Daphnia pulex: one gene and its partner. The protein of the gene in region 2 purifies or fractionates together with the protein of the main gene of each other region. This does not show direct contact. Links are inferred from orthologs where the notes say so. Each region holds a gene or a part of one and is shown on either strand. Other genes may lie near its edges.

Region 1 (12,589 bases), on a different chromosome or scaffold from region 2:
AGGAGTATGAACAAAATAAAGCTGGACCACACACAGGCCGTCCGGTTCCATATCGGTCCTTTCGTCACGCAGACTGGGGATGAGGACTACATTTTAAAAATATCGATAGATAAATATTTCAAATATTCGACACGAATTATAATTATGAGGTTTAATTGGTGTTCTTGTCAGATATTTACCTTCGAAATCGCTGGACATTCTTCAAGTTCCAGTCCCGAAACTTCGGAGTTGTTTGACAGCATAAAATTGGAGTTAGAGTTTATTCTTGAAATTGAACTGTGGGGCCCTGCTGCAACCGGAACACTTTCGGATTTGTAATCAATGTCAAGCGAGCTTCGGGTAGTTGGGAAGGTGGACAGCTCATTGTTGCCACAATCATTATCGTCGATGTTGAAAGAGACTTGTCTTATTTCTTCAACCATTTTAAACCTGAAAATGGTTTGCGACAAAAAACTAAATCATATTACTATGACTAGATGTTTGCGCAAAATTATCCACACATTAATCCATAGTTATGATATTGAAGCGAGACTGCTGTGTTGGTTTTTCTATTGTTATTTTTTTTTCTCTGTGGTAGAATGATAGGCTACACCGATAGTAACCGTTGTATCAGCCACTTTTGTCCACACGTTACGCTATCCTTAAATTTATTGTCTAGTGAACCCAAAGTCATATTGTTGAAACATCTGTTGAGAGAAATCCACGAGCCCCCCCCCCCCCTTCATTGGCCAGCAACCACTGGTCGAGTCACTTATTATGTCACAGCCCTATACCTTTCTACCTAGCTTGGATTTATGAACCATCGTCGAGGTAAAGGGAGTGGTGACAGTTAAGGGAGAAGGGAAAAAAACCAGGTTGTACTCCATCCAATCTTTGCTTTTTACATAGATGTAGAACATAGGTAACAATGTCGTACAGTTCTCCTTTACATGAGGGGAGTCGAGAATGGGACAAAAATCATGAAACTAGTCAAAAGCTTTTTATAAGAATTATCAGCAGCTGTTTGCCGTGTTGCTACTTCTTTTGCCATTTTATATCAGTGCGCCCTACTTGTTTAAATGTACATAATATTTTGGGTAATTTACAAATTATATTTAGTATTACTGCAAATCAATAAAAATGTGAAAACTTCATGGGCGCATAGCTAAACAGACACACGATCAGCTAAGGAAAATTATTTGTTTATAGCAAAAAATAAAAGAGTAATGAAAGAAGCGCGTGCACAGGCATACATAGGCCAATATTTAGTTCATGATTCATGGTGTTTTACCGCTTACTATTTTTGAAGTGATTCCAACGCAGACTAAAGAAAGTTGAAAAATTTGGTCGAGGGTGATGGAGATAAAAGTGATGGATTGGTAAGGTAGCCCCTACCCAGTTCCAGCGGAGCCAGCGAAGCGAAGAAAGATTACTATATAAGATATGAATTGTTCAAGTAAAGAAAAAGTCAAAATGCTGAAACTGAAGGTATGTTAAGCACATAGATAAAATCAAAGGCCTACCTCCTACTTTTTTTTTCTTTCTAATTATGCTGCAGGGAAGTCCATCGAGGATTGATGACGTATTTTAGTTTCCAGATGTAGTGAAGTATTGTCAAACGCTATGCAAACTTATTGGTTTGAATGATTCATAAATGCGATGCTGATACTGGCGAACAAAAAGCATTTGTTCCAAAACTGGTTTGCTTAACTAGAACTGAGGCGAATAGAAAAAACGTCCGTCCTTCGCCGTGAACGCTGTAAAACTGAATAAACATATGAGTGTAGACTGTAGACATATATATAGACAGTACAGCAGACCTATTACACGGTTGCATGGGTTCACACAGGACACGAACCTATAAAATGTTGGAAAAGCAAAAGCAAAAAAAAAAATTCTTCGTGATTTCTCTTAGTCTTGGTCTATTGGTGTTGATATCTAAAGAAAATATTTTTAGAAATTCTTGTTTTAATGGAAGAATATCAAGCGAAATATTAAGCATAATTGTACCAACTTAGATGAGCAACTAAATTGTCGAAATTTCACGTTGATCTAGCAGCTGCATTTGTTTTTATACTGATATGAATTAAACTACACTATTGGGAGGATTTAGTTGTGCATATGGAAAATTAAAAATTAAGTCTTCCGTGTCGACATGTTGTGCGCAGTTGCCTAACTTGATTGTGCAAATTCCAAAAACAAATACTCAGACTAGAAATCATTCGTAGGATTTTTGTTTGGTGAAAACCAATGGATTTCACGTGAAATCAACATTTATTATGTGTGTACGTAAGGAAACGGAATAATTTGTGGCTTGACAGCTGCTGGTACGATACTATCGTACGTAGCCTACCGGTACTTGTGTACGTAGCGGAGTGATTGTTTGCTTACACGCAACACCCCCACTGAGAAATCTTGATAGATATTTATTCTAGTCATGCATGCTAGCTGCGTGAATTTTAGCTCGTGGTCTAGCAATTGAGTTGGGAATTTTTATTTACTTTATCTGGGCATTTTAGAATGTTGTCTACAATGAGTATTTCGAATATTAACCGAGAGATCACGTCAATATATATATCGGAAAGACATATTTGGAGCTAATTATGTATTAATGGGATCGTAAGTAACAGTAAAAAATTCAAAATTAAATTGTTGAAAATAAAAAAATTCGTAATTAATGATCAACCATCGAATAGACGAATGAGTTATGCGGATCTTATTTTTCATTCCGATGAAATCAGGAACTAAATGCTTCAATTTGCGTTTCTATTCGCGTCACTAACGTCGTACTTATAAATTTTCAGATTAGCAGTGACTTATTTTATATAGTATTTATTCATAGCTAACACAAACTTACTGATTTATTTATGTAACACGCACATTAAACACATTAAAACGATTTTAGCGCGGCAAGTTTTTTTTATTTCAAACACCTATTTGCATCTCTTGTACATAGATGTCACTAGACATGTCTGTGAGACGACGAATTTTCGAAAACATCTAGAATTTGGAATGAAGGATAAATCGTTGTATTCGCGTTTCTGAAACATACAGAATTGCATTCAATTTTCAATTGTTACTTCGACTGATCAGAATTTGTGGTTTTCTTGAGAAATGTTTGGTCTTATTGTATCGGGGCGTTTGGTAAGTTTCAGTGTTTGTGTTCGCGTGTAAATACGTTTCCACAACTACAGTAGGTGTCTTGATTTGCTATTGTCAATACATTTTTACAGGTCCAGACCAACTTTCAACAAATTACAGACTCACAATTTGTTATTACTATTCCTGATGCCGATAATATCAACCATTTGGTAGTATTTTTGACTGGCGCATCACCATTCCCAGAGGGATTTGGTGGATCAGGTTGGTTAGAGTACAATTCTATGTTAAAGGAAAAATTTTTGCATACTCCGGAAGATAGATTTTAAAATACCACAAAATAATTTTTTTAATAGTGTACTTCAGGTGGCCCGAGCCAGATCTATCAGCCCCACCAGTGTGGCAACTACTAGGTAACCTCACCAATAACAAACCGTCAAGCATTTACAAAATCACTGGCTTGAAGAAGAATCCGGGAAGTTATAGCCCTAGTATGTTTGGGGTGCACCAGGGGGAAATACATCATCATGCTCAAATAGGGATTTCAATTGAGCCTCTTAGCCTCATTTCCAATCAATCTCCTAGTGCCATTACAGAGCCTAGTAGCACCACAACATTCCAGGAGTTTGCTGAACGTACTCTTCAAAATCTTTTCAATTATGCAGCAAGTTTTGCTGTTACTCAATCACAAATGACACCAAATCCATCAGAAAGTTTCATCCCAATGTCTGTTTTAAGAAACTGGTACACTAACTTTATTAGAAAACTAGAATTGAATCCTCAGTTTTGGAGAAGTTGAAAGAATTCTTATTAAATTCTTATCAACTTCAAGTAACCTCAACTTTTCATTGTTGAATACATGCTAATTGATTTAAGTAATAAACAAGGCTTGTTAAAAGTTTATATTGTTATGCAAAGTTCAATTAACCATCTTAGTTCATCTTCATCACACACGTCTTGTATTGTTTGAAAAAATATTTACATACTAGTCGTTCCCGTGTCCAGCTGTTTGACAATCGCTTCACGATCACGAAGTATTTTCCACATCTGATCTTTTTCTTTTTTGCTTAACGGGCGTTTTTTTTGTTTAGCGGCAGCCATTTTACGATATACGTCTAATACCTATTCAAAAGAAGTTGGGAATAATGTAGACGAGCTCGATAAGCAGAGATGACACTTGAAAAATGAATACCTCAGCGTCCGCTGCAATCAATTTTTTCCGTATTTCCTGACGTTTCATTTCTTCTTGACTGAGGCGGTACAGTCGTTTCAGTTGTTTCAAGTTGTGCAGTGATATGGCCCTCAATTCTCCTTGGCATCGACGTAACTCCGTCAATATTTCATCATCGGCCTTAATCAGGGGGTTAATAATACTACCTCTGAAATGTGTTTTGAATGAATAAATTACCGAATTAACGTTGGCTTCTTCGGAAGTTAAAATGCCTTGTTCTTCTAACTCTTGACGAATACGACGTTCAAGTGCAGCAGCTTGAGGTCCATTCATTGCTGCCTTCGTGCCAGTAGATTTCGCGTTTTCGTCTGTTACAGTAATTTCGAACCGCTAGTTGGCATTAGTTTTAAACAGGAAAACAATGAACAATATACCTTGCCCTTCTGATTCCATTGTGTCCTGCACAGAAGTTACAATATTTTCTTCTAAAAGAGCTGAAATGAGACGCTGGGTCATGGGTCCGCACATCCCCGTCGCAGATGTAGTATTTGTTTCAGCACTGAGTTATTAAATCTATCGTTAAGCAATATGCGGCTATTAGAAAAAAAAATATTAATTTTTTACTTGTTTTTAGCTGCTGTGTCCATTAATCTTTGAGCCTCTTCCGTTCCTACAGAAGATCCAGAGGTAATCTTCTTTTTCTCGCCGAAACGAGAGCCCTCTCTTTGCTCCTGAAGTAAATCATCTTCTGCCCACCGAAGTGTATAGTGGCGACCGAGAGGAGGAATTTTGAGGTATTCTTCATCCTCATTATGAGTTGAGATTAGTTCTTCTACTAGCTTTAGTTAAAACATCAATTACCACAAGAAAAAAAATTTAATTCCAAGTTATGTTAATCTTATACAAATCATTTTACCTTTAAATCATCATCTGTAAAAAGAGCACAGTATGGTTCTACAGAAGCCCAAAATTTGTTTGGTGTATCATTTTTGGCAGTTGATGTCTTCATTAATTCTAAAGGAGGCATTTCCTCAACAACTCCTTCTGGTGGGATAGGCTTCTATAAAATCAAAGAGATCATTACTTGACTGTAAATAAAACTACTTTTCATGAAACTAGGTACAGCTAGAGCAGATTTAATTTTCATCTGCTTTAAAAGTGGAGGTGTGTGTGCATCTCTAAGCTTTCCTGGTTGATCTTTGAACTTTTTAGGTGAACGCTCTTCTTGTTTTGATCGTTTTCCAGGAGATGGAGGCTAAAAAAAAACACATAGTGTTGTTGGCAAACAGAAAATAGACACAAGATGAAAAAAAAACTTTGATGAATACCTTTTCAGTCATTCCTGCAATTTCTCTCTGTAAATTTAAGGAACGCAAAACAACACAATTGAGTAGTGTTTCTAGTTCCATTTGTAAGGTGTCCAAATCATCCATCATAACACCCCCTTCTTCTGATCTAGCCGTAACTATAAACAATTGATTATATTTATATCTTTGTTAATTAGAAAACCAACAGAAAAACAAAAAAAATTAGTTCTTACTGGATGTGAAACGAGGTAAAACCTTTCCATAGTCGACAGCTCGGACATCAGCTAGAGTAACTTCTTCATCTGAGTCCTCAGGTTCTGAAACTCTTTCCCTTTTGACTTTAGTGGCTGACGTTGAACCTTTGACATTTGTAGCTCCTTTTCCTTTGGAGATATTACCTTTACCCGGAACCATTTTTCGGCCCAAATTTTAAATTTGACAAGACAATTCACGTACGAATGTACGATTTACGTTGTTTACTTGTCAAAAAAGCTTGGACTAGAATCGATACCTAACTTTCAAACTTTCGATTCGATATTTCGATTTACAACGTAAGAGAGAAAATGAGACTGGGTATTCGTCAAACGATAGCAGCGCCTCCTTGAATGGTTTAATGAAAACTTTGGATAACTTAAACCGTTTAAGTCGAAAGAGAAAAGACAATCAAAGTCTAATATATTTTTTTAAATTACTTGTTAAAAATATTTGAACGCAGTTTTCGAAATAATAAAATCAGGGAAATTGCAACTCAAAGTTTTAGACTTGATTTTCAAATTTTTCAAATTTTCATGTATTTCTTTAATGAATGCAGAATGCTTAATATAAATTTGTATGATATTTTATCGATTTCATTTAACTACAAATTCCATAGGCCAATGTATTTATTTAATTTAGTTGGTGTTTCACTATATTATTATGTGGCCGTTATGTCTGAAACAGCGCTAGTTTCAGGGCTGTAAAATTCCCTCGTCTGCGGGTCTCCAGTCTTCTTTTCTCTGGTGTTTTCAGTTTATTCCAATATGGCTACCGAGTGAAAAGGCAACGAGTTTTTGTGACACTAACATTATCTACGTTTCATGACAGTTTATTGTCTGTTTGAAATTAAAGTTTGAATCTGCGGCCTATCAGAGAGGAATTCCAGACCGAACTTCGTGAAGTGCAATTTATTTTTTCTACAAATAGCTGTGGAAACCTTGTTTTTCTTCATATTGTGATATGTGTGGGCTACACCATCTGTGTCACTTGCTTTGAAGAACCCAAAGGGGGGTCGAGTGCGTGTGGGGACATCCTTCGTTTTCAATAATTATTGAAGAATCCTGAGTTTCCTTGAAACAGCCATTTTTCAGTGACATTTTAGACACAATTTTCCAGTTCGCTCCTACTGCTTTGTGTGTACTGCAGCTATCCGTTCATTTCAAGGTAAGGAGACCGCTGTGTTGCACAATCATAAAAGTTCTGGATGGTGAAACATGACACCTTCATAATCAAAGCATGTTCTCAAAATTCCTCTCTTCGTTTCATAATTAGCACAGGTTTTTTTATACCATCCTGCCTAGTAAACCTTGAGTAATCTTGTGTGACATGCAGCAGTCTGACCCTAATTTATCCAAACAGTAGCATTCGTATGAGAGGCAGATATCAGGTGGTAAAATTTGATAGTGAGTTCATTTGGAAGTGAATTGTTTCTTTTTGCGACGATTGCAAATGGGTGGGGGGTTGCACAGCTGTACATGCGTTGGCGGGGTTGAAATAGGGCATGGGGGAATCTGTAGCTCAGGTATTGATCACGTCAGGAGGGAGGAAAAAGAGGAAGGGAAGGAGGAGTGGGGGTTGAATCCGACGACGGCACTTGGACTTGTGCGCAGCGTCCAAACACACATACTTTCTTGATCCATTCCCATCCCTGATCTCCGTCGCCTTTCTCTTCCACCCGATGAATCCATCTCTTCCAGATTCGAGGAGGAGTCACACGATAGGGCTCTAAAGAAACTGTTCCTCCTATGAAAACAGACATTGTCCCGTGTTTTTCTCCCCTCTCTGTGTTGATGGTTGTTATTATTGTTGTGCTTCGGCCTCTCGTAGACGCCACACAAACGAGAGCATCTCCAGTCGTTCTTACAGTCCGAGGTTCTCGGATTGGCGCTTGGGGTGCAGTGGGGGAAAGGAATCGATCGCATTCAAAATCTACTGGAATCCCTTGGCTGTGTCATTCAGTTAGGCAGGCGGGAGGTCACGCCAGCAGAGCTGGTCTCCAGGACGACCGCTCCCTTCTCTTTCTCTCTGGTAGGCATATCTTCACCCCCCTATTTCAACTGCTTCCTTTTACATGCATCATCGTTAGTTGACTGAGCCCGCATCATGAAGCTAAAAGAGAGCTCTGAAATCCAAGTCAACACGGAAACCCAAGATCATTTCATACCAGGCCCCTCTAGCCCTTTTTGGGCACGTGGACTCTCTTTGTTGTTACCGGCAAGTCCTTGCATCACAGGCCGTCGTTTGGGTTACGATCCGGCGACACTTGGGGCACCGGGACTCGATGCGTACCTCGCGTGTATTGCCTTAATCTGATCCACCTAGTAGGTCGCGACCCCTCTAAAAAAGCGAACAACATCAACAAACAACACGTTAACAGTGGAAAGTATCATCGACACTGGAGTGATAATGATGTCGAAAGAGGACTGAAGTAGTTGCCAGAATTGGCATTCATCCGCTACAAAGCCATTTCATTGACAACGAACTTGGAGGCGATTCTGACTCTGACTGGCACACGATAACAAAGCCATACGACGATATTCCTAGTTCCCTAAAGAATTGATTATCGATGCGATCCTGTACTTTTTCTTCCCGACCGAGTGGGCTGTAAAGAAGCTTCGATAATCGCAACGCTGATGAGATCGATTGCACACCAGTGTGCTAGTCGTCAAGATCCGCCTCTTTCCAATGGCCAGCTGCCAAGCCAATCTTGGATGATGCCGAGAGACAAAGACTCAGTCTATCCGTTTTTATATCCATTTCCGATCGGATGACTCCTTCCGTGCCGTGCCACCGTTTCAACGACGGGCAGTTTTCTTGTTAGTTCTTCCAATTTGATTTCCCCCCTTGCATCTCCTTACCGGGAATGACAAGCCGACAAAACTGATATCGTTTGATTTGCTCCTCTTGCATTTCTCGTCTTTTTTTCTTTTTTACGTTGTCTCTTTGACTCAGCTCAAACTCTCTCCCCTCTTTTCCACATACACATGCACACCGTTCGGGATCGCAGACTATTGATTCGAGACTCTCTTGTGGTTATAAGCCGTTGAATTTTGGGGGACACACGCAGCTCGTCCTTGTTTGGAACGAACCCTGGTGGCGGTAACTCAGATCTTATCCAAAAGGGCGGGTGACGTGTTTCTCCATCCAGTTTGTGGACTACTTTTTTTCGTTTTCATTTTGTGATTGCTTATTTTCACTCATTTAATGTGATGTCATTTACTTTGGATTACAGGGTGATGCTGCCATTCTCGACAAATTGGAGGATATGATGGTCTCAGCAAGGTGGAAAGCGATCAAGATGATTGCACCATCTCCGGAAGAGTGTGATTAAGTGAGAAACCCTCAGCCGGGCAGCCAATTTTTCAACACCGCCAATCTGAGGACGTACGAAGAAGAAGAAGAAGAAGAAAGAAAAATTTTTTAGAAATGGCTAGAAAAACGGAACAGTTGCGGACGCTTAATGTCTCCGTGGTCGGCCTGGCCGGCACAGAGAAGGAACGCGGCCAGTCTGGCTTAGGCAAATCGTGTCTCTGCAATCGCTTCATCAAATCGTTGGCCGATGATTACCACGTCGAGCACATTTCCGTCCTCAGTCAGGTTAGTGTAGTAAGGAGAACATCCTGGTCGGTTGCCAATGGCAGTGTGTCAACAATACCAAATGGACTGGGACGGCAAAGCCTTTTTTTTATTAGAATCCATAGATTTTACGACGTTGTTTGGAACATTCAATTTTCCAACGTTAAGTCCCTTAAGGAATAAGAAAGCCAAGTGAAAAGAAAAGAAATCGTTATTGATGGCATGTTTCCGTTATCGCGGGTTGGGTCTGGAACTGGAACTAATGGCATTCCCATTGATGTTCACACCATTTTTCCTTATATGTCTCTTTCTCTCTCTTCTCTTTTGTCGTTCATTTTGTTGTGAGGGGCTGGGCGGTGACTGGGAGTAGTACTTCAACGATTTTCTGACCTTCAGGCACACGTTGCTGTACGCAATGCAACACTTTTTCTCCATTTTTTTGTTTTCTAGGATTCTTTACTCTTTTTTTTCCCCTTCCCGACCGCAAGTGACGGCATTAGCGGCAACTTCCGGTTGCAAGCCAAAGGCAATTGCGGCCCTACTTTGTATGTCTCATCACACAGCTGAAGGTCTTAGATAACTGTTGGTTCCCTAATTGCACACATGTATAATTGTATAGGGATCGGAACAGAAAGTTGAACAGAAACAAAACACATACTGTACAATAACAATTTAAATAGTTCAATCACTATTTACTGTTTAATTGACAGTAGCCGACACAAAGGAGTCTACCTCACAATCGTTATGACGACTGCAATCTCATATTTGTTTGTTCTGCTTATCTGTTTGACAGACGGACTTTAGCGGTCGGGTGATCAACAATGATCACTTCCTCTATTGGGGTGAGACAACGAAACAGGCCGACGATGGCGTCGAATATCATTTTCAGCTAGTCGAACAGACCGAGTTTATTGACGACGCCTCTTTTCAACCATTTAAAGGTGGGGTGCTTTCAAGTGACGTCAAACTTGCTAATTGATTTGACTAACCCGACGACATCTTTTTTTTTTTTTGCTCTCCTTAACAAATTTAGGTGGTAAAATGGAACCTTATGTCAAGCGATGTGCCGCAACCAAATTAACATCTGCCGAAAAATTTATGTACATTTGCAAGAATCAACTGGGTAATTTGGAGTAATAATATTTAATTGCTGACTGTAAAATAAACTTCCCTTGGCTATAGGAATTGAAAAAGAGTATGAACAAAAAGTGATGCCGGACGGCAAATTCAATGTTGACGGCTTCATTTGCGTCTTTGACGTTTCCATGGTGCCAAGTCGGCCGATCGAACGGCAGTTGGAGTACACGGCAAACATTCTCGCCAATCTGGTCAAGAGTAAAAAACCCATCGTCCTGGCAACCACCAAAAATGACGAGGCCTTTGACGGATTTATCCGCGAAGCCGAGAAACTGGTTTCGAGAAAAGAATTCAAAGGTCCAGTTAATTGAGATCCTCTTAGCTATAATTTTCTAACATCATCAATGCAAATTTCAAATTACAGGGAGTATTGCTTTAGTGGAAACATCAGCGCACGAGAACGTCAATGTCGACCTGGCGTTTCTTGTTTTGGCTCAGATGGTGGATAAGGCCAAAAACCGCATGCGAATCGTGCCATTTGCCGAAGCGGCAAGATCCCGCAAGGACGTTCTAGATGTGGCTACGGAAGCCTTTCAGCGCTTGATTCGGGCGCAAGTGACGGACTTCCGCGCCCTTTGGTCGGCTACCTCCAAGAAATTGGCCCCCAACCCGGACTACATTCATTATTGTAACCTCTTTGGTCAGGACGACGCCCAACGCCTTTTCCGACGTCATGTCAAGAAGCTCAAAGATGAACATTTGGCCCGCAAAATCAAAGGTTCTTGCTTGTCTAACATGACTCTTTGAGATGTTGAACTAACGAGTCGGATGTAGGTTACATGGACACGTTGCCGGAAATCCTTCTTGAATTCTTCCCAGATCTGCCCAGCTTGGAGGAGGGTGACTGGGAACTCATCAAAGAGAAGATGCACGGCCATCCGGAATTCAACAGATACTTTTTAGATTGTCCAGCTGACGGAATGTCGTGGGCTGAAACAGATCTCTTGGACAGTACCGAAATGCGAATACCGTTCGACGTCCTGGACACGAGTGAAGCCGAAATGGTTTTCCGTAATCACATCAACTCTCTGCAGAAGGAACAACGATTCCTTGAATACCGGCACCAGTTCAAGTCTCTACTGCAAGAAACCGGGTACGTGACACCTGGCAAGACACTGTCGGAAGTTCAAGTCCTTTTCATGGGCCGTGAATGCTTCGAGGCTCTCTCCGAGGCAGACTGTCACCACATCTATGATCTGCACCAGAGGGATATTACGGAAAAGGCTCGCAAAAACTTCCAGGTTCGTCATCCCACATCTCGATGTTTTGTTTCACCCATAACGACTGTCCTTCTTTGTTTCGTAACAGGAATTGTTATTGGAGCATGCCCATTTGTTTTATCAATTCAAGAGTATTGCGCCGTCGGGAACGGTGACGCAAGATGACATTCGGGAAATTACCGAAGAATTACAAGAAGACTCGCGTTATAAATCTCTCGACAGGCTGGACAACGAACGAAGGTTATTGTTGCTCCAGCACCTAGGCTTCGTCCATTGTCCAATCCGTGAGCATTGTCCGGCTCATCCCAATTGTATGGACGCTGTCATTGAAAGGCTCATTTCCGTCAAAGCTCACCGACCGTCTTCGTGGAACCGGCATAGTCAATGGATGCTGGGAAGTGGTGGTGGTGACAACAGTCAGCTGAGTCTGGTTCTGCTGGGCGTTGGGGACTTGGCACACGAACTAGCCGGCGAAATTCGCGCGCTGTGCGATGAGGACGAATACGAAATGGACAATCAAGTGTACAGCCTTGATTATAGGATCATTGACGGTGACGTCAGTTTGCCACAGAACTCGTTCCGGACCACCGATTTCACTCCACAGGGCTGTTTTTGCGTCTTTTCCAACGCTGAATCTTTCGAGTACATCCGTGACAGCCTAGAGAAAACACTGTTATCCAACCTGGAGCAAGAAGACAGGTTGCCGTTCCAGGGATTACCGATCGTCATCGTCATGGCGGCCGAACCGTCTCTCAGCGAAACCGACTACGAACATCTCAAGGGCGAGGGTTTAAACCTGGCCGACAATCTTCAGTGCCCCTTCATTGAAGTCTCGCAGTCGTCTA
Region 2 (12,814 bases):
CAAGTGATTTAATTCGTTTCCTTCAAATGTGCCAATTACACAATTCAATCCGCAAGAATGTCAATAATAATACACTTTATCATACGTCCGATCGTCAAGTTGGAGCCTTCCAATGTTGTTTTCGTATTTTTGTTTTATATCCCCAGGTGAAAAGTACACCTTTTCAAGCTCAATTCATTGGATATTTATACCTTCTGATTGCGGGCTTGAGTGGCGGAGAGACGTCAAGGTTGCGGTGAAGAGAACAGGAAGGAGTGGGCGGAAAAAAAGAAATCGATCGGAATGAATGAATTAAGTCTGAAACAAAAAAGAGACCAAACAAAAAAAGAGGGGGAGGGGGGAAAGGGAAAATTATAAATAAAGACGTCAATCAAGCCTCGCCTTTGAACTTTTTGCCATTGTTCTTCTTGCTATTGGTTTTGTTATTAGTGACGCTGGGTTGTTGCTCCGTTCGGCGTCTAGCCGATGAGGAAGTGGAGCTGGCCGATGTTGAGGTGGATTCGGCAGGCGAAGCTTCGGCGCCGGGCGTCGGGACGTCGTGACTCTGCTCAAACCAAAATAAAGATAAATAAAACATGAATTGAGTCACACTTTTCTGCGGTGGCGCCATCGAAATTTGATTGAAAAACCACCGAACCTGAGCAGTTAGGAGTGAAGCAAGCGAGTCTCCTTCCTCCCATGTATCCACGTCAATCATCTCCTTGTCCTTGTCTCCACCAATTGTGGGCAGAAGGTGACTTTCCGTTTCTGTGTGATGCTCCAATATGACCTGTCGGACATTTTTTCGTTGAGAGTCCGTGTGCTGAGGACAACGAAGAGAACGTGTACACATCCGGCCAGTATGTTCCTATACGAACAAGAGCGTTAAATAAGTAACCAAGCAGCTTGAAATTTGCACGACGCAGGGACTTTTGTGTTGGGTTATAATAGACGGATGAGTATACATACCGAGATGACGCCGCACATGGTGGTCAAAAGGGTCCGGCGCTCAGTCAACCCCATTGTTTCCATTGTATTACCTCCTCCAGTTGATCCAGTATGCAAACCATCTTCAGCTCCTGCATCGAAAAAGGTTCAATTCACTTTCCAGGTAACGCCTAGTCATCGTTGATAACGAAGTGAAGATCACGAGTGGATGGCAAGGCCAGACAAATTCATTAATTCCGCTGATGGCAATTGAAAAGTGAAAGTTTCAACGTGTAAAACATTTTCACGCCATTCTCGTTGACAAGGATCGTTAAGTCCAGTCTTAAAGACTCAATGAAACAAGCCGTTAATAATTCGTCGGTATGGTTTAATTACCCGGAACTGCAGACGCCGATGACGCAATGGACGGATGACCACTGGAGCTGTTGCTGTTGCTATGGTTGTTGTCGCCATTGCTGCCATTCTTCCATTTCTTGCGTCTCGGCGAGTTTTTGTCTTTTTTGTGCAAGTGATGGCGGCGTTTATTCTTGTTGCCACCACCTCCTCCACCTTCGCCGCTCATGATTCGATGGTCCTGCCTTTCACTGGCTCCACTCGCCGTCCAGTCGTCGTCGTCACAGTCGTCATCGCTTACCAAATCAGCCTAATGAATGAATCATCACGCGCATACCGTATGAGGTGCATAGTTGAATCATAATCAGCCAAGTTGAACGAGGGAAACGGACCTGTCTACTAGCAGAGGTGGCAATACGCCTCGACGCCAATCGTGAACTGTTCCGGCCCATGCCCATGCACTTTTCCAAGTGTGGAGCAAAACGGGATGCGGCCATGTTGCGCTGGCAGTTAGGACAGACGCATTCAGCCGGTTTTTTGCTATTGACCGCTGCCGATGATAACATCTCTGACGCTGCATCGAAATCCATTGCTTCACCACCGCCGCCGGTAGATGAACGGGTCGTTTCGTCTCCGTCGAAATCACATTGTGTATCACCTTAAAAAAAAAATAAAAGGAAAGTTCAAGCTTTTATTGTTACGATGCCGATCATTAGGATACGCCCAGAATTCCTAAGGAAAACACAAAAAAAAAACTTAACGATCCAAGTTGATTGAATTCGTTTCTTTTACGACCTGTGTTTTATAGTCCACACGTAATGGTCTAAAAGTAATAAAAACCGGTTGAAATGAAGATTCGACTCGGTTCTTGACTAAGAATAAACCGAATAGCGGAACAGGTTAAAGAAGTCCAACTATATTCAAAACTCTTTTGAAGGCAACGAATCAAGTGAAATAAATAATAAAAAAATTACAGGAAATGTCTATCGCAACACAAGTGAATAAAGGCATCTATCAATCTACGCTTGAGTTACACCGGCAATGAAAAATGATGACGCTTGATGATGACTCGTTTCTCAAAAATTAATTATTTCCGTTTCATTCTCAAAAAAAAAAAAAGAAAAAGAAAAAAAAAATTAACAAATTCATTACCGGTCACACCGTCCTCCAGGAGAGCGGTGAGTCCCAATTTAGCACCGCGGTGGACTTCAAACACGATGCCTAAAATAACGTCATCGACTATGTCCTCATAGAACGATTGAGACGCTTCAAGGATAGCTGACTCGCTCAACGGATGAAGTAACCGACCGCCACCTGTTAAGTCTTCGTCTCCGTCAAGCTCTTGCACGCTTTCAAGTGGATCGTCCAGCACATTCAGCGGCACCACTGTAATGGAAAGCGTCGGAGGCTGTTGTTGTTGCTGTGATCCTGATGCTGGATCCACCATTTCGATTATTTCTTGCCCTTATCACATAAAAACAAAAAGAAAACAGAACGAACGATCGATCATTAGAATATCCAGGTGCACTCGATTTGTAACGTCATTGCATCATTAGTTGTAGTTGTAGAAAAAAAAAAGTTTTCCACGGATAGAATTCGTTTTCCCCCGACTAGACAAGAAAATGGCTGACGTCATTTATCCATGAATTCATATGAAAATGTGTCTCGCAATCGCCGTCGTTTGTTGGCCAGTCACGATCGCTAGAGTCAATGTTGATTCTTGTCTTTTTGGGTACTTTTTGTCGATGTTGACTTCATTTTATTTTGTCGCTCTCGACTTTAGCGGATTCGTTCAGCTTAATTTAAAGAACCGTCGCCATAGGATAGCCGGATAGCGTTGTCCTAAGTAATAGCAACAGATGGAGGACACATGAAAAGGAAGACAAACTTGGGTGGAAAGAGAAATTCGTCATGGTGCTGAAGAAATACTGCAGACGGATACAGGTCCAAGATAGGCTCTGCCCTTCGCTCCCCCCCCCCTGTCGGGTGTTTCTCTTTTCCGTATCAGATGAATGATATCATCCAAACACGAGGGTGGAGTACACACACACACACCTTACCAAGAAACTGACGCTTACTTTCTGTGGTTGACCTTATAAGGGAAAAGTAACAATTGAAAGAAAATCTATTTTGGTCGGTCAGGGTAACACGAGAAAACGGGGACAGACGGGACATTAGCATAACAAAACCAAAAGAGAGAACATGATTAAGTTAAATAGCTATTACATTGTTCTTATCTATTTAATCAAAAACGCAAATTGCTACTACTTTTCTTTGTTCAAGCTCTCAGCTGGAAATTGATTTTATAAACCATTAAAACTCCAAGTAAATATGTTGCACCCAAAATAAATTTTCTTTTGGAAGTGTTTAAAAGGTGAATGTGAATACCTGGCCTAAGAGACAAAATGCATAGTAATCTCGAATACCGTTTCTGATGGCATGATCGTATCACCATTACGGGAGACGTGATGACGGATTGCCAAACGAAAACTTTTTAACCTCTGAAAACCTTAGGAAGAAGAGACTTTTGAAAACTAAAACATGAAAAACCAAGAGAAGTTCCACCAAGGTCTAACTAGCAACAAGATAGTGTCGCCACCATCAATTTTGATTGCCGGTTTCACTGTCTGTCTAACCTTCAAAGCCAAAAAAGAGACAAGGAAAGGCTATAACAGAAAATAATTAGGCGAGGAACCAAGGATAGTTCTTTATTTTTTTTCGAAATTCAAACGGAGAAAAACGTTGTGGTTCCGAAAGGTATAAAATTTCTACAGCCACAAGTCGAAGTGGTAAACCAATAGTCATGTGCGATGTGCGCTACTTTTTCCACCTCGGAGAACATTGAATTCAAAACTAAAACGACACATTTCCCAACACAACTACATAGGTAGGCAGTAGGCTCTATACCACCACTCTTCAATCATCCTCATCGGCGTTTAACATTTTATTTGCATCTCCCTCGGGTAGTAGAAAACTTCTTTGCCGAAGGCAATAAATGACTTGTAATTGATCAAAAAACCAAAACCTTCGTTGAAAACCGGGAAGAAATTGTAGATGTCATTCTGTACTGCGGGTAATTCTCTATTCTGGTCATGGGAAAGAAGAGAGAAAAATCGGCTCACAGCTACGACATCTACCAGCACAATTAATCTGGGCAATTTTATAGGAATTCTTAATTATCTAAGGCAGCAAACAAAAGAAATGAAAAGAACCGACGAATATTTCTAGAGGCTTTTGACCGCGGGGTGATGGTGATTGTTTCCTAAAGGTATATGAACAAGGACCTCAACCAATTTTCTTAATCACCTCCGAGCGGCCGCAATCTATGACCCCACCAAAACCGCATCACCTACAACCTTTCTTTTTCTCATTCGTTCTCACTCTTCTTTCTCGACTTCTTCCAATTGCTGAACCACAGACACCAGTAATTCTGCCCAAGTTCGCTTAGGAAATGGAGGTCTTTCCAACTTCCATGACCTCCGCTTCCTCCGCAATTTCTAAAACTCATCCTTCCCGGTGAAACCTTGAGAAATACAGTTCAGTCTAATAACACATTCAAATGCTTTGGGCTTCGATACCGTTCAAAGTTTTCTTTGTTCATCTTGGTAGCTTCCGAAATAACGAAACAAAAAAAAAACTGGATAGATGATTCAACAGCCGCAGGTAAAATGAACGTTATAATAAGTAAATCGATCAAAGTAGGTTGAAAAGCTGTAATAAACTCAGCATATTTAACCTCCAGCATTTTATTCTTTTCCCAAATTTCTCATAACGCAGACGCCCTTCTGCCATCTAACGAACATAAAAAGAATTGCTACAGGACCCCCCCCCCCAATAAAAAAAGAAACATCTCGATCGATCCAAAAGATTCGTTCATGTACGATTCTAGTAGTGCGATTCTGCCTGACATACAACAAAAAAGCCATTTAATTGGTTCAATTAAATTTAAAAAAAACAACTCTTTATCTGCAACGAATGGATGACAAAATTGGTAAAACAACGAGAAAACTTACTTGAAAATGTTTGACTATTAAATTTTCCAGGATTGAAGAAAAATGGCGATTATACAGAAACTAAACACCCTATCACGTTGAGATCAAATTTACTTTTCAGTTATATATTTTAAGAATAACAATCCAGGAGATTCTTGCGGTTGTTTTTCCGACGATCAACCGACTCGGTCAACACCAACACACAGATCGAGAACAAAAAAAGATCGAGCAGACGACATTTTATGACGCTGTTGCTAGGCAACTTGCTGGGCACAATTAAAAAACAACTCGGGCTAAGTCTCAAATATCAAGGCCACTGTTGCGCAAATGTCTGATCAAACGTTGATTCATTATTAACTGACAAAAAATGTTGAAGAGGGGACCATTCGTTCACGTCCAGCAATGGTTTTCCATTTTCTCCTCTCGAAACTACTCGAAAATTGGAGTTATTGGAGCACCATTCGACAAAGGACAAGTAACTGCCATATTGTATCGATATTGATATCAACTTTGACAATTTTGTTTATTTTAGCGTAAAGAAGGAGCTGCCCTAGGACCAAGTTCTTTGCGCCAGTCTGGACTAATTAAGCATTTGGAGTCAATTGGTGACTTGAAATTTCCTTGCTGTGTTTCCTGATTGCACAGACTAGTATTATAGCCATACTTCAACAGGTTGTGATGTTCATGATTTTGGTGATATTGACTATCAACCCACTCGAGAGGAAGGGACTGTAAAGAATGTTCGAAACATGAAAGATGTAATAGCCTTCAATGAGAAAGTAAGATCCTTGAATAGATAATTATGTGTTTCAAATTATCTGTCAAATCCCTTTTCTAAATAATTATTTTCACAGCTTTCACAAAAAGTCAGCCAGATAATAAAAGATGGTCGTATGTGCCTAACTTTGGGAGGAGACCATTCAATTGGTGTAGGTACTGTTCATGGTCACCTGAAAGCTCAACCAGAGACATCACTTCTCTGGGTCGACGCTCACGCTGATATAAACACTCCGGTCACAAGCAATAGTGGAAATGCACACGGTATGCCATTGTCGTTTCATATAAAGGAGCTAACGGAATACCAACCAGAGATACCCGGTTTCGAATGGCATAGCCCTATGTAAATAATACTTGATTTACTTAAATTAGATTCAAGTAGATTCAATATTAAACCCTGTCTTAAATAGGATTTCAGCCAGAAACATTGCTTTTATTGGTCTTCGTGATGTAGAACCTTATGAGAGGTATGAGAAAATATCTAAACTTGACTTTCACATTATTTACTCTTGAAAACCTTCTTTTTTCTTTAGGTTAATAATTGAGAAATTGGGAATGTGTGCTCTATCGATGGAAGAAGTTCACGGGATAGGTATCAAAGAAGCTGTCAAGTACGCACTAAGTCGAATTGATCCTCGCAATACTAGACACATACACGTTAGTTTCGATATTGACGCCCTCGATCCCCTTGAAGCACCATCAACTGGAACTCCAGGTAGTAGAACAAGAACAAAAAAAAACGGAAAGTTGGAAACTTACCCCTTTTTTCAAATAGTTCGAGGAGGATTGACGTTGAGAGAAGGAACCGAACTATTAAGAAGTGTGCATCGCACCGGTCGGCTTTCTGCAGTTGATATAGTAGAAGTAAATCCACTACTAGGCTCAGCAAGTGATCTGAAGATTACACTGGATGCAGCTCGTCACCTGGCAGCAGCAGCAGCTGGATATTATCCAGGAGGGTGGGCTCCAAAAGGTGTCACCGATATACCCCAGTCTTAAACCAAAAAAAAAAAATGTTAAGTGCATTTTAAACCACGATCTGTTACATTTTACTCGTTAACTACCTAAATTTTAATTCAGCCAAATTTCAAGGCCCAAGAAATCTTAAAGATCCTGTGCCATTCCCTTAAGATTTTCAAAAGTAGTCTATAACTATTGCTGCCTTGTTTTCAGATGTTTTAACTTTTCGTTGCTGTTGATTAATACAATTATCTCATGGTATTCACAATATATTTTTAAAGAGGAACACAACAAAAAAATTGAGCAATTTACATTTCTGTCATGCTTGTTCAATTTTTGATTCAATGGAAAAAAACTGTCTTAGTGGAATTTGTTTTAGAACTTAAATTACAGTGAGGGAATAGCAACTAACATTAATTTAAAAGCAAATTTAGGTACAAAATGAATTATACTTTCTGTTAAAAGTAGTGGACATGCACATCTGTGACCCAAGTTTACTGAGATTCTGATAAATCATCCGAAATTCGCACCAGGCCACTCAACAGCTCACACGTTGCAACAAACAAGTTCAAGCAATTTCAGACGAAAAAGAAAAGAAAGAAGTACAAATTTTAATGTGTTTCTTAGACAGTGTAGCATAATGTAATACGCATATAAAAAGTGCATTTATCATCTACCAATTTTGTAAAATTATCATATTTTTCTCTTGATTAACAGTTCACATGTTCTACATTTCTAATTTTCTACATTGTCGAGCAATTTTTTCCAAAAAGACAAATTTGTGCCAAAGATGGCGGTGACTTTCAATAAAGTTTCGCGCGGCAAATTTTGTTTCGGCTGCTGTTTTACCGACCTTGAAAGTGCCAGATGACAAGGTTCTTATTCTTTGACCTGACGTGGTGAATAGGTGTTCAAAGAAAGAGAGAACACGAGTTGAAGTTTTTGTGTTGCAGTTGCTAGAAGTGAATACGATAATTGGATACCCAAATGAAACGCGAACGTAACCATTGTAAAGTAAGTGGAAAAGTGACTGAAACAGTGAAATTATTTTTGTTTTATGTATTGAGTCTACGTTATTGTGAGACTGTTTTGTTTCGTGTGGAATTTTCAATCGTTTCAACAAGTCAATGTAATTTCTGGTACTTAGGATATGGAGCTCCATTTGACGATGGAATTGAGCCATCATTTGGAAAACAAAAGAATTTTAAACGGTCGCTACGAAAGTGTTTTGTCGAAATTGATGAAACAAACTGACACAAACATTTTCTGTCCTACTAGCGACACGAATCTCAACATCACCACTCGTATTCCCAAAATAACTATTTCAGGATCTCTGGCTGCTGTTGAATCCGCTCGTCTATCTATACGGGTTCAAGCAATATTTATTTTATATTTCCATTCATTCACCAGAGTTATTCATAACGTGTCGTTTCTATTGAAAGGAATGTGTGCCAGTCGTGTTTGTCGTCAGCTGTCGATCGGATAAAGTCCAATCTCTCGGAATAAACCTTCTTGTAGCCCACTTTTCTTCTACATTTGGAGTCAAACTAGTCTTTAATCTGGTTGAAGAAGATGCATGCTATCAGGTGAATATCCGAGGGCACCACTATCGATTTGAATTTCTGAAGGAAGCAGTGTCCCATTTTTGTCATCTCGTCCAAACTCCTTCGGTATTCGGTCATGTAATTTATTTATTTCACTATTAATCATAAAATTGTGTTTAGGAATCGGTCGAAATGGAAATAAATTCTTCGTGTTTACATATTAGTCTAGTCAGAAATTGCATTCCATTGATAGAGAAAAAATCAGGAGCACGAATCTGCTGCCCCGTCAACGGCAGTTTAGTCCTGGTTAGAGGATCACTGGAAGCCACGTATTTCGCCAGTGAAATGATAACCGTAAGAAGATTTTTTTTAAATTATATTCAACGCTCATTAGGTGAATCACTGGATTTTCTAGGGCGTGACACCATTGTATTTAAAGTTCCAACTCCCATCGTCTGAAATTACTGAAAGGGCTCGATCGATCGCCCGACAAATGGACATATCTATTTCCTCAATAAAAATAGACTCGGGTATTAATGAATTGGTTTTATCTACTTATGAATGGAATACTCGTAAGTTATAAGAAATAAATATTAAAAGTCATGTAAGGGATTAATTACGTACTTCTAATAGGTCACCTTTATGAGATTCGGCGCATAATTCTGGGCTTGCCTTCAACTGCTTCTATTTTTCCAAAACAACGCCCACTATGCGCGGATTTAGTTGATTTACCCAAAAGTTTCTGTACGTTGTTTTTCGATCTTGCTAAGCTGTTTAATTGAATGATGGCCTTTCTTAATCTTTCGTTTTTTTAGACAGGAGTGTGGAGTGTACGATTTTCGAACCACAATGCGAAGAACTAGCCTTAGAAGGCCATAGGAGTTCCACGGATGAAACGCTAAACTTGAGGTTATTGTTCCTTTTTTTATATGAAATGATCTAAGCAAGCTCTTACATTTTCTCTAAAATTTTACAGGCGAATTTAAGCCAGCTTTTGTCGGACCAACAGAGGTGACACCCAGTTTAACCGTTGTCACATTCTACCGTGCTTTAAACCCAGGATTCTTTCATTTTACATTTTCAAATTGTGTGCTGTAAAAACGTTAGGTCGGAGTATCTATACAGCTATAGTTTTAATGTTTAAATCAGATTACGTGTGCCATTCTGGAAACAGAAAATTGTGGCGCTCCATGTTGTTTCCTTCTCAGAAATTCCTCTCAGAGGTACTAACTACTCGGAAAATGTTGATAATAAAATGAAAGTAAATTGTGATTTCGTTTTCTTTGAAGACTTGTGTGTCAGCGTCCGCTTTTTTTTGGGGGGGGTTAATGAGCATGACGTAACTAATTACCAAGCTGCAACACGGGTAAACGGCAAATGTATTTGGTATATCATTCAAATTTATACATAAAATATGGTCAGTCGTCGGCCCTATCATTGTGCAGCTGCTCTTACATCTCGTCTCTGTAATGTGGATATGGAATTGTTTGTACGGTTTGCTAGGTCGACACTAACGGTTGTATAAATTCACACATATTGTAATGAAAAATTATTTAGAGAATAATAGCATGCAACATGTGGGACGAACGGAGAGGGATTCTGGAGACCACGGAACGGCGGCAAAATATATAGCACGAGGGGAAAAGGACAAACCCTCAAATATTTACAAGTACGTCACTTTTTCGTTATGATATACACAAGAATGAATTTTTTAAAATATCATTTAGAATATGTGTGAAAGAAACCGAAATGATGTCAAGATGACGCGAATTCGTCAACAGACAAATCATTCCTGATTGCATACAATCACCGGCACGGCCCAAATTCAAACTCGTCATAAATAACTCTTTTACTGATCAATCATCTTTGATGAACCATGTCGATTGCCCATCCCGTAAGCGTCAAAGTCATTCTGTACAAATTGTAAATGCTAGCTTTAAATTTGTAAAGAGAAGGCTTCTACAAAAATTACCTACAAAGCCCGTCAAATAATGCTATTGGAATGAAAGCAATCGGTTAAAAGGGTACTGAATGAACAATAGAGTTTACTTAGCAGAACCCAGAACTCCGAAAAAATGCACTCACTGAGGCCGTATAATGATGTGATATGATCTATTGGGCCAATCTATTGAAAGAGCGGATATAACTCTCGTCGCTGTAGTTTCGGCCATTTTGTCTTTCCGCCATTTGATCATGAAGTATTGACGGAAGTGTACAAAAGTAATTGACTTCCTTTTTCTCAGTCCGTGCACGACGACTGATGACAGCAGTACGAAGATAATGAAATCGTGTCAGGGAGGGAAAAAGAAACTTGCAGAATTGGCCAGTTACGAATTTTGGAACCTGCGCAAAAACTTGACGACCATTCCCACTCTCATCTGCAATGCTGCAGTGAGGCAAGCAAACGGCGTTAACCACCAAGCGATACGCTCCATTACATTACCGGTCGGCCACTCAATAAGCGTAAAAGGGTCATTGTCGGTGCGAGTTATCACAGGTAAGGGGAACCAAACAGAACATACACGCAGACAAGTAGGGATGGTGGTCTAGCGATGTGTCAAATAAAAGACACGCCATTGGGTCATGATGAATGAAACACACCGTATCAAGCCAAAGAGAAGGGATGGCACACACACAGGTCGACGGTATTTAAAGTTTCGAGTCTTCCTTCTCCTATAAAAAGGAAAATGATATAGAGGCTGTTATTGTAACATTTAAATACTGTAATTAACAAACTAAAAAACACAAACTTACAAAGCTAAAACTGCGTTCAAATGATTTTGGACTATTTTCCTCCGCGATGGGTTCCATTCGGTCTTCGCTGAGGCTTATTGGACTGGAATCTCCTGAACTATTATTGTCACCGAAATCTTCGCCGGATCGCCCTCCGCCGGAACACGATACACCCGTGGCATCAGCAGATGGCCGGAGTTCACTCTCCTACAAAGAGAGAGTTGGTTGATAAAATAAAAAAGACAAAACCAACATTGAAAAGAAAAATCACCTTTATCTGGGTCACCCAGTATTGATGATTCTCTTGCAGATGTTGCGTTTGTAAACAGAGAATCTTTCTTCCCGTTGGGGACCGTTTTCGATGAACGGGCGTGTCAGAATCACTACCGGAACCCGCCGATGGCCCGATATCTCTGTCCAGTTCCGTCAAACACGAACTGTCCCCAGAACTGGCTCTCCTATCATCATGGCACCCACTTTCGTCGCTGTAAAAAGAGCTCGGAAGGCTTTCGTCATCGTCGTCTTGGACACCATCGTCCCATTCTCCGGGCAAAAGGCCGGCTTCTCCGTAAGCGTTGCACAATGGAGCCACCAAATGGTTAATAAAAGACTCTTGTAATTTGGCCAACTGTGGATTGTTGCGGTCCATGTAAGGTGAAATGGGCATGCCCAGAGCGGCTTCTTCGTCTCCCTAAAAATATTCATTGACAGTCGCATGAATTATCGAGTTTAAACTTGGAACATTTTTAATGTTTGATAATTTACCTGCTCATAAAATTCTTCGGCGATGCGGTGGGTCCACTGGACGTGAATGTTGTGTATCTTGCACGGGCCGTTGATATCGGCTAATTTGATACACATTTGCATGGCTAAAAGCCGATCCGTCTCATTGGTCCAATCGATGCCAGGTGCGTCGGTGTCGTTCATCTTTGCGTTGAACTCGGCCAGGATTTCAAAGTGGCGTTTCAGGTCCGTGGCCAAAATAGCTTCGATAATTAGGTAGCGAAAACGTTTGAATTCGGCTCGTTCCAAGTGAACAAGGAAATTGAAACGAGGATCGGAAAGAAATAACGACCAAGCGGCTGCTGCGTGATGATTCTCCAGAACCGAACGGTCATTGTACAAGATGGCCTAGAGTTTTAAAAAAAGATTGAGATCATTATCCTTCTGTCTCCGAAAATAATGCGACGAGTTCATGAATGTCGTAATGTTTCTTGAACTCTTTTCTGTTGGAGCCAATCCAGTCAAACGGATCCTCATTGAACGCAGACGGGCAGACCATATGTCACTTTAATGAATTCCGAACTTTTACCTTGTCATGCATTATGACGACATGAATAAAACAAGAACAAAAAAAAAGAAGGATTCTAACAAAAGAACATTGTGTTAAGCTTCCCTCCTTTTCCGTTTCAGATCGATAATTCCTCCTCCCAGCTCTCCGAACAATGACAGAAATAATGAGCAACTTTCGTCTATATCTATCGAGTCAAGTGCTGTCGGAAATTGGGTTCCTCAACAGCAAGACTTGATGAAACAGAAAAACCTTTT

What was found.
Region 1: the proteins of ataxin-7-like protein 3 (region 2) and transcriptional adapter 3-B-like purify together in Homo sapiens (affinity purification with mass spectrometry; 6 studies listed by BioGRID and IntAct, counting the BioPlex papers as one, with this or other methods). This does not show direct contact. The link is inferred for Daphnia pulex from reciprocal best matches to the Homo sapiens genes ATXN7L3 and TADA3.

Annotation. Positions count from the first base shown.
Region 1 is NC_060019.1:11,484,065-11,496,653, forward strand, and holds transcriptional adapter 3-B-like, read right to left. Parts: upstream 6,123-12,589; 5' UTR 5,971-6,122; coding exon 5,790-5,970; intron 5,715-5,789; coding exon 5,578-5,714; intron 5,505-5,577; coding exon 5,373-5,504; intron 5,310-5,372; coding exon 5,166-5,309; intron 5,089-5,165; coding exon 4,874-5,088; intron 4,809-4,873; coding exon 4,684-4,808; intron 4,618-4,683; coding exon 4,487-4,617; intron 4,430-4,486; coding exon 4,271-4,429; intron 4,201-4,270; coding exon 4,057-4,200; 3' UTR 3,967-4,056; downstream 1-3,966. Other genes in the region: uncharacterized protein LOC124189823, read right to left, coding at 1-86, 180-422; protein OPI10 homolog, read left to right, coding at 3,094-3,123, 3,213-3,342, 3,435-3,877; rho GTPase-activating protein 190-like, read left to right, coding at 9,238-9,408, 10,181-10,328, 10,421-10,510, 10,570-10,821, 10,889-11,242, 11,299-11,765, 11,833-12,589. UniProt on the Homo sapiens protein: Functions as a component of the PCAF complex. The PCAF complex is capable of efficiently acetylating histones in a nucleosomal context. The PCAF complex could be considered as the human version of the yeast SAGA complex.
Region 2 is NC_060017.1:2,595,029-2,607,842, forward strand, and holds the start of ataxin-7-like protein 3, read right to left. Parts: upstream 6,805-12,814; 5' UTR 6,789-6,804; intron 6,745-6,788; coding exon of another isoform or gene 6,563-6,744; intron 6,497-6,562; coding exon of another isoform or gene 6,440-6,496; intron 6,373-6,439; coding exon of another isoform or gene 6,107-6,372; intron 6,032-6,106; coding exon of another isoform or gene 5,925-6,031; intron 5,858-5,924; coding exon of another isoform or gene 5,785-5,857; intron 5,728-5,784; coding exon of another isoform or gene 5,620-5,727; exon of another isoform or gene 5,589-5,619; intron 5,412-5,588; exon of another isoform or gene 5,274-5,411; intron 2,725-5,273; 5' UTR 2,708-2,724; coding exon 2,413-2,707; intron 1,919-2,412; coding exon 1,653-1,918; intron 1,571-1,652; coding exon 1,303-1,570; intron 1,059-1,302; coding exon 949-1,058; intron 848-948; coding exon 638-847; intron 545-637; coding exon 371-544; 3' UTR 1-370. Other genes in the region: arginase, hepatic-like, read left to right, coding at 5,620-5,727, 5,785-5,857, 5,925-6,031, 6,107-6,372, 6,440-6,496, 6,563-6,744, 6,805-7,028; uncharacterized protein LOC124200214, read left to right, coding at 7,977-8,003, 8,137-8,358, 8,432-8,659, 8,714-8,887, 8,949-9,105, 9,167-9,277, 9,349-9,442, 9,510-9,519; cGMP-inhibited 3',5'-cyclic phosphodiesterase A-like, read right to left, coding at 11,183-11,206, 11,288-11,473, 11,538-11,957, 12,032-12,397. UniProt on the Homo sapiens protein: Component of the transcription regulatory histone acetylation (HAT) complex SAGA, a multiprotein complex that activates transcription by remodeling chromatin and mediating histone acetylation and deubiquitination.